Xenopus tropicalis: one gene and its partner. The protein of the gene in region 2 binds, or shares a complex with, the protein of the main gene of each other region. Links are inferred from orthologs where the notes say so. Each region holds a gene or a part of one and is shown on either strand. Other genes may lie near its edges.

Region 1 (3,818 bases), on a different chromosome or scaffold from region 2:
TGTGCTTCCTCAAAGTCTTTTCCTGCTGCAAACAATGTAGCAATGCAGCATGTTAGAATGTGTTACAGCAGGTGAAACCTGTCAGCAATACACAGCATGAGTGTGTTGGTTACAGCTGAAAAGAGATCGAGGAACTCACAGGTAAATTGTTAAATATATAAACAATTGTAAGAAAAATAATAAAGACTATTTGGGAAACAGATTTATTAACCACCTGCTACATTTTAATGGACTTTTTATGATAGTGACAGTTCCCCTTTAAGAAAACTTTAAAACACACTTAGAAACTGTGGCCCCAACAGCATTCAGAGGCTGAAGGCTGCAGTTCAACAACAGATGGTTAAAAGACACATCTGATACAGATAAAACATTATCTAACGATTACTATACTAAGTAATTATAAGTCATTTCTACCTTTACCAAGGAATAGCTGGCAAGAGAAACTGCCATATTTGTCCCAGTCTAGAACCAGCCCAGGGAACCCCCATGTAGTATTTGTTATTTTATCTCTAAGTGAGCTATAAGTATGTCCCTGCCACAGATATGTCAGCAGCCCATACACTGTAAGAGCAGAAAGGCATTATGTTATAAAACCCATAGTGAGACTTAATAGGGCTTTTTATTGTGTTCATTATTTGTGTTGCATTTTGTTTATTGCACAAAGCACAAGATACATCCAATTTCTTCCCAAAATATTCCTGATCTTCTTTTGCTGTCCCGTCTGAGGGGCGAGGCACATTGATTAAGGGGAGGAAACTCCAGTGATTATTAAGCAAAAGGCCATGAAAAATAGTGTGAGTGGTGATGTGCACAAGTGCAAGTGAATGAATGCAACCAACTGGACCAGAGTGTGACATATTGAAAGCACTACATCACTACATGGTTTATGTACAATGGTTTGGGCACTGTAAAGGAAACAGCTGTCGAGTACAAAACATCTGACACTTTTGGCTCTTTTGCATCTGACAGCTGTTTAATGCTGCTTTTGGACTAGAAATGCCTTTAAAATGATTAAAATGAACAAAAATCTTCCATGCTTATTTCAGTTCTTTTTACATAGGAAGAATGATTTGCACAATAAGTTGGATTTTGCAAAAAGGCTGGCCTGTGATTCTTAGTGCAATATGGCACACCCTGGTGTGAGATGCTGTTTAATTTCTTGCTTTTGGTATTGTTTGTTTAGGGACCCAACTCTCTGGGTTCTATAATTAATACATGACACAGGTTATTGCAAGGGGCAAGAGCTGAACTATAAGCAGAAATGAAATGCAAAGAGTGATAAGTCTCTATCTTAACCTGTATGGGGAAAGGGACATTGAAGGCTTATACTCCACTATCCCCAGTCCCAAAATTTTGGTCTGCTTGTACCCTTGAGAGAAAGAGGATTTGAGGGTGAGTAGGCAGCGTTCAGCATCTTAAGAGCAGCCACATCGGTCAACAACCATACCTGGAATTTTGCCATAAATTATCTGTTGCTTGTCATTAAAGTACAGCATGTTAATGGGGGACATTTTGGTAGGGGTACAGCATGGCCCAGCAGAACCCCTTGGGTTGGCTTGTTGCACAAGGTGAGTGTGCGGATACTTCTGCATGAACATGTATTCACACTGGCCAGAACAGTAGTTGGCTTTGTAGCGTTTGGGGGCAATAATCCAGTCCCAGCCAAAGGCTTCGAAGTCTACAGTAAGTGGGTAGCGACAGCAGCGGGATTCCGTGGAATGTTCGTCACAATCAAGCCCCAAGTTCCTCCGTGATCTTTTATTGTTTTCCATAACACGTAGCTCCATAAAGGGGTGCTGGATAGAAAAGAGGCACAAAATTAAAGAAGAACAAGGACATGCAACTTTTTATTTGTAGATGAATATACTAATATAATTAGGAACATAAAGGGTTCTTCAACGCAAAAACAGTAATGGTATAGAATACACTTCCTGGTGGGCTCATCATGCTGTCTAGTCTGTCAGTGTCTTTCTAGATAGGCAACTCTACATAGCTAAAATGACTCGATAAATTAAAAAGTATGAAAAGAGCCAAAAAGGATGTTTTTTTGGCAAGGGCCAAGTCATACATTGAAAAGTTAACCTTGACAGACAAATCTCTCAAGAAAATGACCCTGTCCCTGAACTAACCCTTCAACTATGATAGCAGCAAAGTCTAACATTTGTGACACACAATCTATTCTATATGATATACATATTTAGCTGACCTGGATGTAACTGCCATCTACATATTAAGTCACAGTTAAGTCACATAAGTTACATGTATGCATAATATGGCCAGTTAAGTCTTTGGACCCTGATTGTGTCTACATGGCAAATATTTTATTATAGCGTGTATGTAATCATTTCTACATACTGAGTATCCTGGTGCATGCCTTTTGCACACCAGGTAAGAGCACACAAATTATCTGCCTTGACCCAAACATAATAGATGATAATAGATTGTCCACTGCAGCTGTAGAGAAATTTCTTCCATTGTAAAAGTTTTAGAGTGAGCACCTCTTAGGGGCAATTTACGCTAAATGCAAGTAACAAGGGCTCCCAAGATGTGCCTGTAAGTTTTGTTTTGCTCTTCTGCAATCTGAATTTGTTCAGCACTCCACTAAGCTTAAAAAGTAAAGGTTAAAGAAAAAACTAATTGTAAATACTATTCTAAGGACCTATCTGGAGAATGACCATTCACATCAAATCTCATTTTCACAATCATAACGTTTTAGGGAAAGGCAGAGAGTGCATCTCCTTTAGATGAGTCTCCAGCTTCAGAGAAGCCCCTGGAAATGGAATATCCTTGGTAAATTTGATAAATATTGTAATATATATTTGTATTCATATCAGCAATCAAAATACTATTGGTGAAACCTTTTGCAATTAAAGTGCTACTTTAATTGTCTATGTAACTATGCAAGAAGCTCAAAATGCATACTAATTTGTATTTGAAGTGGCATTGTATACAAATAAAAATATTATTACAAAATGTACATTTTTATTAAACCAGTTGTCACAGGTAGCAGTTTGTGGCTCCCATCAAGGGCAGCTAACTATCCACTTAACATGCTAATGAATCAGGGCAAGTGCACAGTTTGGGGAATGTTATATTTTCATTGGGTTTTTTGTGCCAATACACACATCCAGTCATAACAAGCAATGCATCTGTTTTAAAGATTTTGTTTTCAACATCTTACTATAAATAAAGACTTGCATCTTAAAAGATCTAAGCACCCACCAGTCCCTCCGCCCCTGGTCCTAGAGAGGTAACAGCCAGGTCATTTCCATTAGGGTCGAAGGCATTAATCTCAATGCCCCAGTTGTTATGTGGCTGCTTGAACCAGTTCTGCAGTACATGTTTGAAGTCAATACTCTGCCAGTGGCCTGAGCGGGAGTGCAGGTCAATCTTGAGGGAGCGGATACGGATGTGTTTGCTCCCTTCTTCAGTCACAGGCTTAAGACGTAGGATCTGAAGGTACACTGTGGAGGTATGCTGAACAGGCCGCAAATATACCCAGAGTTGTGCTTTTACCACCTTGGTGAACATTATCTTTGGGCTGAAGTTAAAGTAGCAGCAGTGTGGGTTCCCATCTATTCTTACTGCGTGGTCAGCTGAAGATGAAAAAGAAAGAGCTATCAAAGTTACAGAAAAGATTTGCATGGCATCTGCTCATACCCATGCCGAGTTAATAACATCCACAACTAAAAATTGTTCCCTGTGTGTTTCTCCAAATATGAGGTCTGTTAATATGATTCTGCATTCTCTTGATTTCATTCTGACATATTACTGGTAGCTTTGGGGCAGCATAACCAAGGGTTAGTTTGTGCAACAGA
Region 2 (4,525 bases):
TGCATTTCCCCTCGTAGGCTAATCCAATGGATCTGCCCAGCAGGCAGGTAGCCTTCCTCAGGTGGCAGGCACTGGCATAGGTTATTCCATCATTCCCACACAGATATTGGTCAGGGGAGACAGGCTCCGGGCAAATCCGATTACATGTCACACAGTAGGCGTTATTGGTCTGATCCACCACACAAGTGGAGCTCCCTGGGCACAGCACGTCCCTGCAAGTTTCTGAAAGAGAAAGAAGCGCAAGGGCGCACATCGATCAGTATAAAGGCGCAATGAATGACAGATGGACTTACAGCACTACTGGGGCACAGCTAAGCGTAAGGTCATAATAAATTGCTCTTATTTACTCCATATACTATGTACTTTATGGGACCCGTATTATATCACATAAAGTTTTGCAACTCCCAAGCCAATGCGCACCAAAAAAGCTTCTCAGGCTACTAAAAGCCACCCAATGAGAGCTTTCTTTTCCATGCTGCCCACCCATGAGGTTCAGGTAACATCACAGCAATCTAATGTGGCTGTCCCTCCCAGCCCACAGATCCCTAACTCCCCCCACTTGTTTAACCTACTTTTGCATTTTCCTTGGTACTGCACATCCAGCTCCGGGACCCCTTTACATTTGGCTTTGAGCAAAGCGCACTCATCCTTATAGGTTTTGCCATCTATTCCGCACACGGAACCTTTCCAAGTAATGTTGGAACAATCCGGAGCGCAGACACACCTCGGCTTGTTCTTCTTGTTCATTTTACATTTCTTCCCAGGGCCACAGTCTACGTTCTCACATGTTTCTGTAAGTGCAACAGGTTTAATTAGCCAGTGGGCAAAGTACTCAAGAAATAGTATTACTAGGAATGTGATAAATAGCCCCATATCTCAGCAGCATGTCTAGACTTTCAGGGACTAATGTGCCTGTGCCATTACATAAAGATCATCTGGGGTGTTATGGTATCTAATATAGATGATAAATAGATAGATGATAGATAGATATGCCAGATTCATACAAGCTCCTGACACTGGGAACTTACTAGTACAAGAAAAGTATTTCCCCTCTGTGCCTAATAGCTAAAACAGCATGCAGTATCTATGGAGAGAGAACAAAAGTTCCTCCAGAAAGCGAACTCAAAATTGAGTGCAGATGTCCCCTTCACTTTAATAAATCCCTCCGTGAAAAATAACACATAATAAGCAAGTGTAGGTGGCCAGAATCTGCTAGCACAGTATCCTAAAGTCTGAGCTGGGTGAGATTATTCTTGCACACACACATACACACATACACACATATGGACTGTGTGGCTGCGTCCCCCTATACAAAAATAATGCCAAAAGCAGTTCAAAATATGTCAAGTATGCGGGTATATAAATACATATGGCAGCTTCATGGTTTCATGGAAGCACAGGTCGCATCAAGCATACACAGGGATGGTTAAATCATGTATTCCTACAACGTGTCAGTAGAGACTGTATGTTAAAGTACTAAAAAAAAAAAAAACTTCTCTCGACTTCTTTGCTTACAGAGATGTAGGAATTTAACCCTTTCATTTTCAAAACGAGGAGATGGTAGTAAAAATTGTCAAGTAAAGTACCTTTGCAGGGGACGCAGTGAGGGGCCCCTCCATGAAATATCATCCATTTGAAGAGGGTGCTGTTGGGTACATCCTCTTCAGTCCATGAGGTACCCAGCCTGCCAGTCTTGCAGCATTCCTCCTTGCTCAGCTCAGTCCTGTAGAGAACCTGACATCGGCCGTTCTTCGACTGCTGCAGCCAGCAATTCCCAGCTGTAAGAGACAGCGGCCCAGCCATATCAGTGTCACTTAGCAGTGACCCAGACACAACACGTGTGCTCTGCGCTCACTTCCACTAGACTGTTTACTTTTATTCGGCCTCTTTCATAACCTGCACTAGTAACAGCAGTCTCTCCCCAGCCAAACCGCTCACACTTGCACGGTTAACCCCTTCAGGGCTTCCACTCTATAGATATCCACCCAGGCTACACAAAGGGTTAATTGGCCGCGCTGTTGAACAGCCTCCCATCCAGATGTTGAGATAACGAGCCCATAAAACCCCTGCTTTATTGAAATATTACAGTATCAAGTGCGTCAGTTGTCAAGCCTGCGATCCAACCTCATGTTGCAATCCAGGCACATTCAGAACATCTACATGCAACACTAATCCATTTCGAAACGTGTTTTCTCCCCAATCCCACGCTATGTTACCCCTTTTTTAAAGTTAAGAGAAAGGATAAGCTGAACAGCAATAGTTCTAAACAACTCACTACAACTAGTTCCATTTGGAATTGCGCCAACTAACACTGCAAGTAGGCAGCAATTAGCACAAGGCAGATTGCGTCAGTTGGAAGAAATTCTGCGCACCGCTGGGTCCGACTGCGCCTCTGCTACGTATAGTAGGGGGCTGGCAGCCAATGACTTGCCACCACAACTTCTGTCCCACCAGCTGGAGTACAACTAGAGTAGTACGAAACAAATACCGACATCCTCGCAAGTCCCTAATAAGTCACTAGATTCGTTACATAACTGTAACCACTGATAGTAAAGTAGCACTCTCTGCCGATACATTTATATACACATTAATAAATCTGGAAGCCAAGTTGACTGTAGCCCTTAAAATCCAGAACTACCATCTTGATATTGCAGATATGTAAAAGTGAAGTCTGATCTAAGTCACCAGCCTAACTTGCCTCTCCTACTGTCTGCCCTAATACCAAAAAAAATGAAAGAAAATCCAAAAAGAGTGATCAAGTCCTTCAGGTTCTTACCTTGGACTGCGCGATGTTCCATGAAATGGCACAGAGAGACAGTCAGGAGGAAAATCATGCCCGGCTGGATCCTTTCATTTAACATCCTCAGTGCAGAGAGTGGAGAAGCAGCAGAGTCTCAAGTGGAGAGATGGGATAATGGACCAGGCACAACTCCGGACTCTGCTTATGATCGCTCTATTGAATGAACAGCAGCCTCTAATGCAGTCTCTCTTTAAATCTATAAGGGGGTCTTAGCTGTCTGCGGTGGGCGGTCTCCTAATGTGTGTGTGTGTTTGGGGGTGGGGTAAAAAGAAAAATTCAGAGTGAATCAGGTGACATTTTCCACCTTCTGGAAACCTTTTCCAATGAACAGTGGGTAGGTAGATCCTAGAGAGAATGTAGCAAGGAGTGTTTGCTGAGTCCCAAGCAGAGAGAGAGTGAAACTTGTCCAGCAGCTGGTGGGGAAATGGAGCAGCAGTGTGGCTACTTGTGCAGCAGCAGAGGCAGCAGCAGGGAGTGGGGCATGTGAGTGGGAAGCGCTGCTATAGGAGTGGGGCATGTGAGTGGGAAGCGCTGCTATAGGAGTGGGGCATGTGAGTGGGAAGCGCTGCTATAGGAGTGGGGCATGTGAGTGGGAAGCGCTGCTATAGGAGTGGGGCATGTGAGTGGGAAGCGCTGCTATAGGAGTGGGGCATGTGAGTGGGAAGCGCTGCTATAGGAGTGGGGCATGTGAGTGGGAAGCGCTGCTATAGGTGCTGCTGGGTGCGCACAGGACAATGACGTGACCTCTCCCAGACTCAGCCTTGTTGGGCAGGACCTACCCACTCTGGCTCCCCCTGGGCACCTTCTGAGCAAAGACCGGGCAACATCGGGGCGCACTGTCTAAAGAGGGGGGGTTAGGACTTGCCCCCCACCCACCTCCCACTCAAACTCTTAAAGTGCCTTTTAAAATATAACTCCCAGAACCTGAAACAGTAGTTAAGTGTCTGCTCCCACATCCAGCTCTCTGGGAGTCTTCAGGGACAAATACAAGTTTAATACCTAAATTTGCCCCCCCCCAAGTGACAGTCTTTTCAAGTGGCAGTGTCTGGAGTATCAGACAGGAATGGGACGACGTAGGCGGTCTCCTTTCATAGCCCCAGAGATTGCCCCATCGATAATGAACTTCTATAGGGCCAGTTTATTAAGCGCAGTCTGGCATCCTCCGCTGCAAGTTGGCGGCCACTCATTTCTAACATTTTTGGCACAGCTGAATGAAACTGAGTAGGCGATATTTCCTTTTATACAGAACCATTACTTCACGGAAAATGGTATTGTTGATTCAAAAGCTGCCTCTTTTCTCTCTCTCCCTCTCTCTGTCCCTCTACATTTTCTATTCTTTTTGCCTCCAGAGCCCAGAGGACAACAGACAGAGAACTATGCAGACTGCATTCCTGGATACTGGCAGGTCGCTTGGATTTGTATTGCCACAGACTTTGACTGCAAATAACTCGGCGATAACAGATTTTTTTCCAGCAACTGCAGGAGATAGTACTAATCTTTTAATAAAAGATCCCATTACAATGGGATCTGTCTGGGAGGACTATAATAGATCCAGAAATACAGGCGTGCTAATATTAGCAGACAGTTGTTTGGGCCCCTCAGGCCGGCCCAGGCTGCTCATTAGGCTGCTCTGTGGGGCGAGTACAAAGGGGCTGGGGCACCACCTGCAGGCACACATTAAAGCGCACTGGTAAATGATTGACCCTGCAACATCCCCCTATTGTC

Evidence for each region.
Region 1: the proteins of fst (region 2) and gdf11.1 are in contact, whole or in part, in a crystal structure (PDB 5JHW), measured with the Homo sapiens proteins. The link is inferred for Xenopus tropicalis from reciprocal best matches to the Homo sapiens genes FST and GDF11. Residues at the interface, in NP_037541.1 of Homo sapiens: Leu34, Arg35, Gln43, Val44, Leu45, Tyr46, Lys47, Thr48, Arg60, Ser62, Asp72, Asn73, Leu75, Phe76, Met79, Ile80, Leu134, Asp135, Arg149, Gln153, Pro154, Glu155, Val180, Val181, Asp182, Gln183, Tyr188, Val190, Thr191, Asn193; in NP_005802.1 of Homo sapiens: Asn299, Leu300, Gly301, Leu302, Glu310, Arg312, Asp328, Trp329, Ile331, Ala332, Lys334, Arg335, Tyr336, Lys337, Tyr347, Met348, Phe349, Met350, Pro354, His357, Gln361, Ile380, Asn381, Leu383, Phe385, Asp387, Lys388, Gln389, Gln390, Ile391.

What each region holds. Positions count from the first base shown.
Region 1 is NC_030678.2:138,141,037-138,144,854, reverse strand, and holds part of gdf11.1 (growth/differentiation factor 11), read right to left. Parts: intron 3,597-3,818; coding exon 3,223-3,596; intron 1,797-3,222; coding exon 1,416-1,796; 3' UTR 1-1,415. UniProt on the Homo sapiens protein: Secreted signal that acts globally to regulate anterior/posterior axial patterning during development. May play critical roles in patterning both mesodermal and neural tissues. It is required for proper vertebral patterning and orofacial development.
Region 2 is NC_030677.2:192,427,969-192,432,493, forward strand, and holds the start of fst (follistatin), read right to left. Parts: upstream 2,952-4,525; 5' UTR 2,862-2,951; coding exon 2,777-2,861; intron 1,779-2,776; coding exon 1,587-1,778; intron 792-1,586; coding exon 573-791; intron 223-572; coding exon 1-222. UniProt on the Homo sapiens protein: Multifunctional regulatory protein whose primary function is to antagonize members of the transforming growth factor beta (TGF-beta) superfamily including activin, myostatin, GDF11 or bone morphogenetic proteins (BMPs).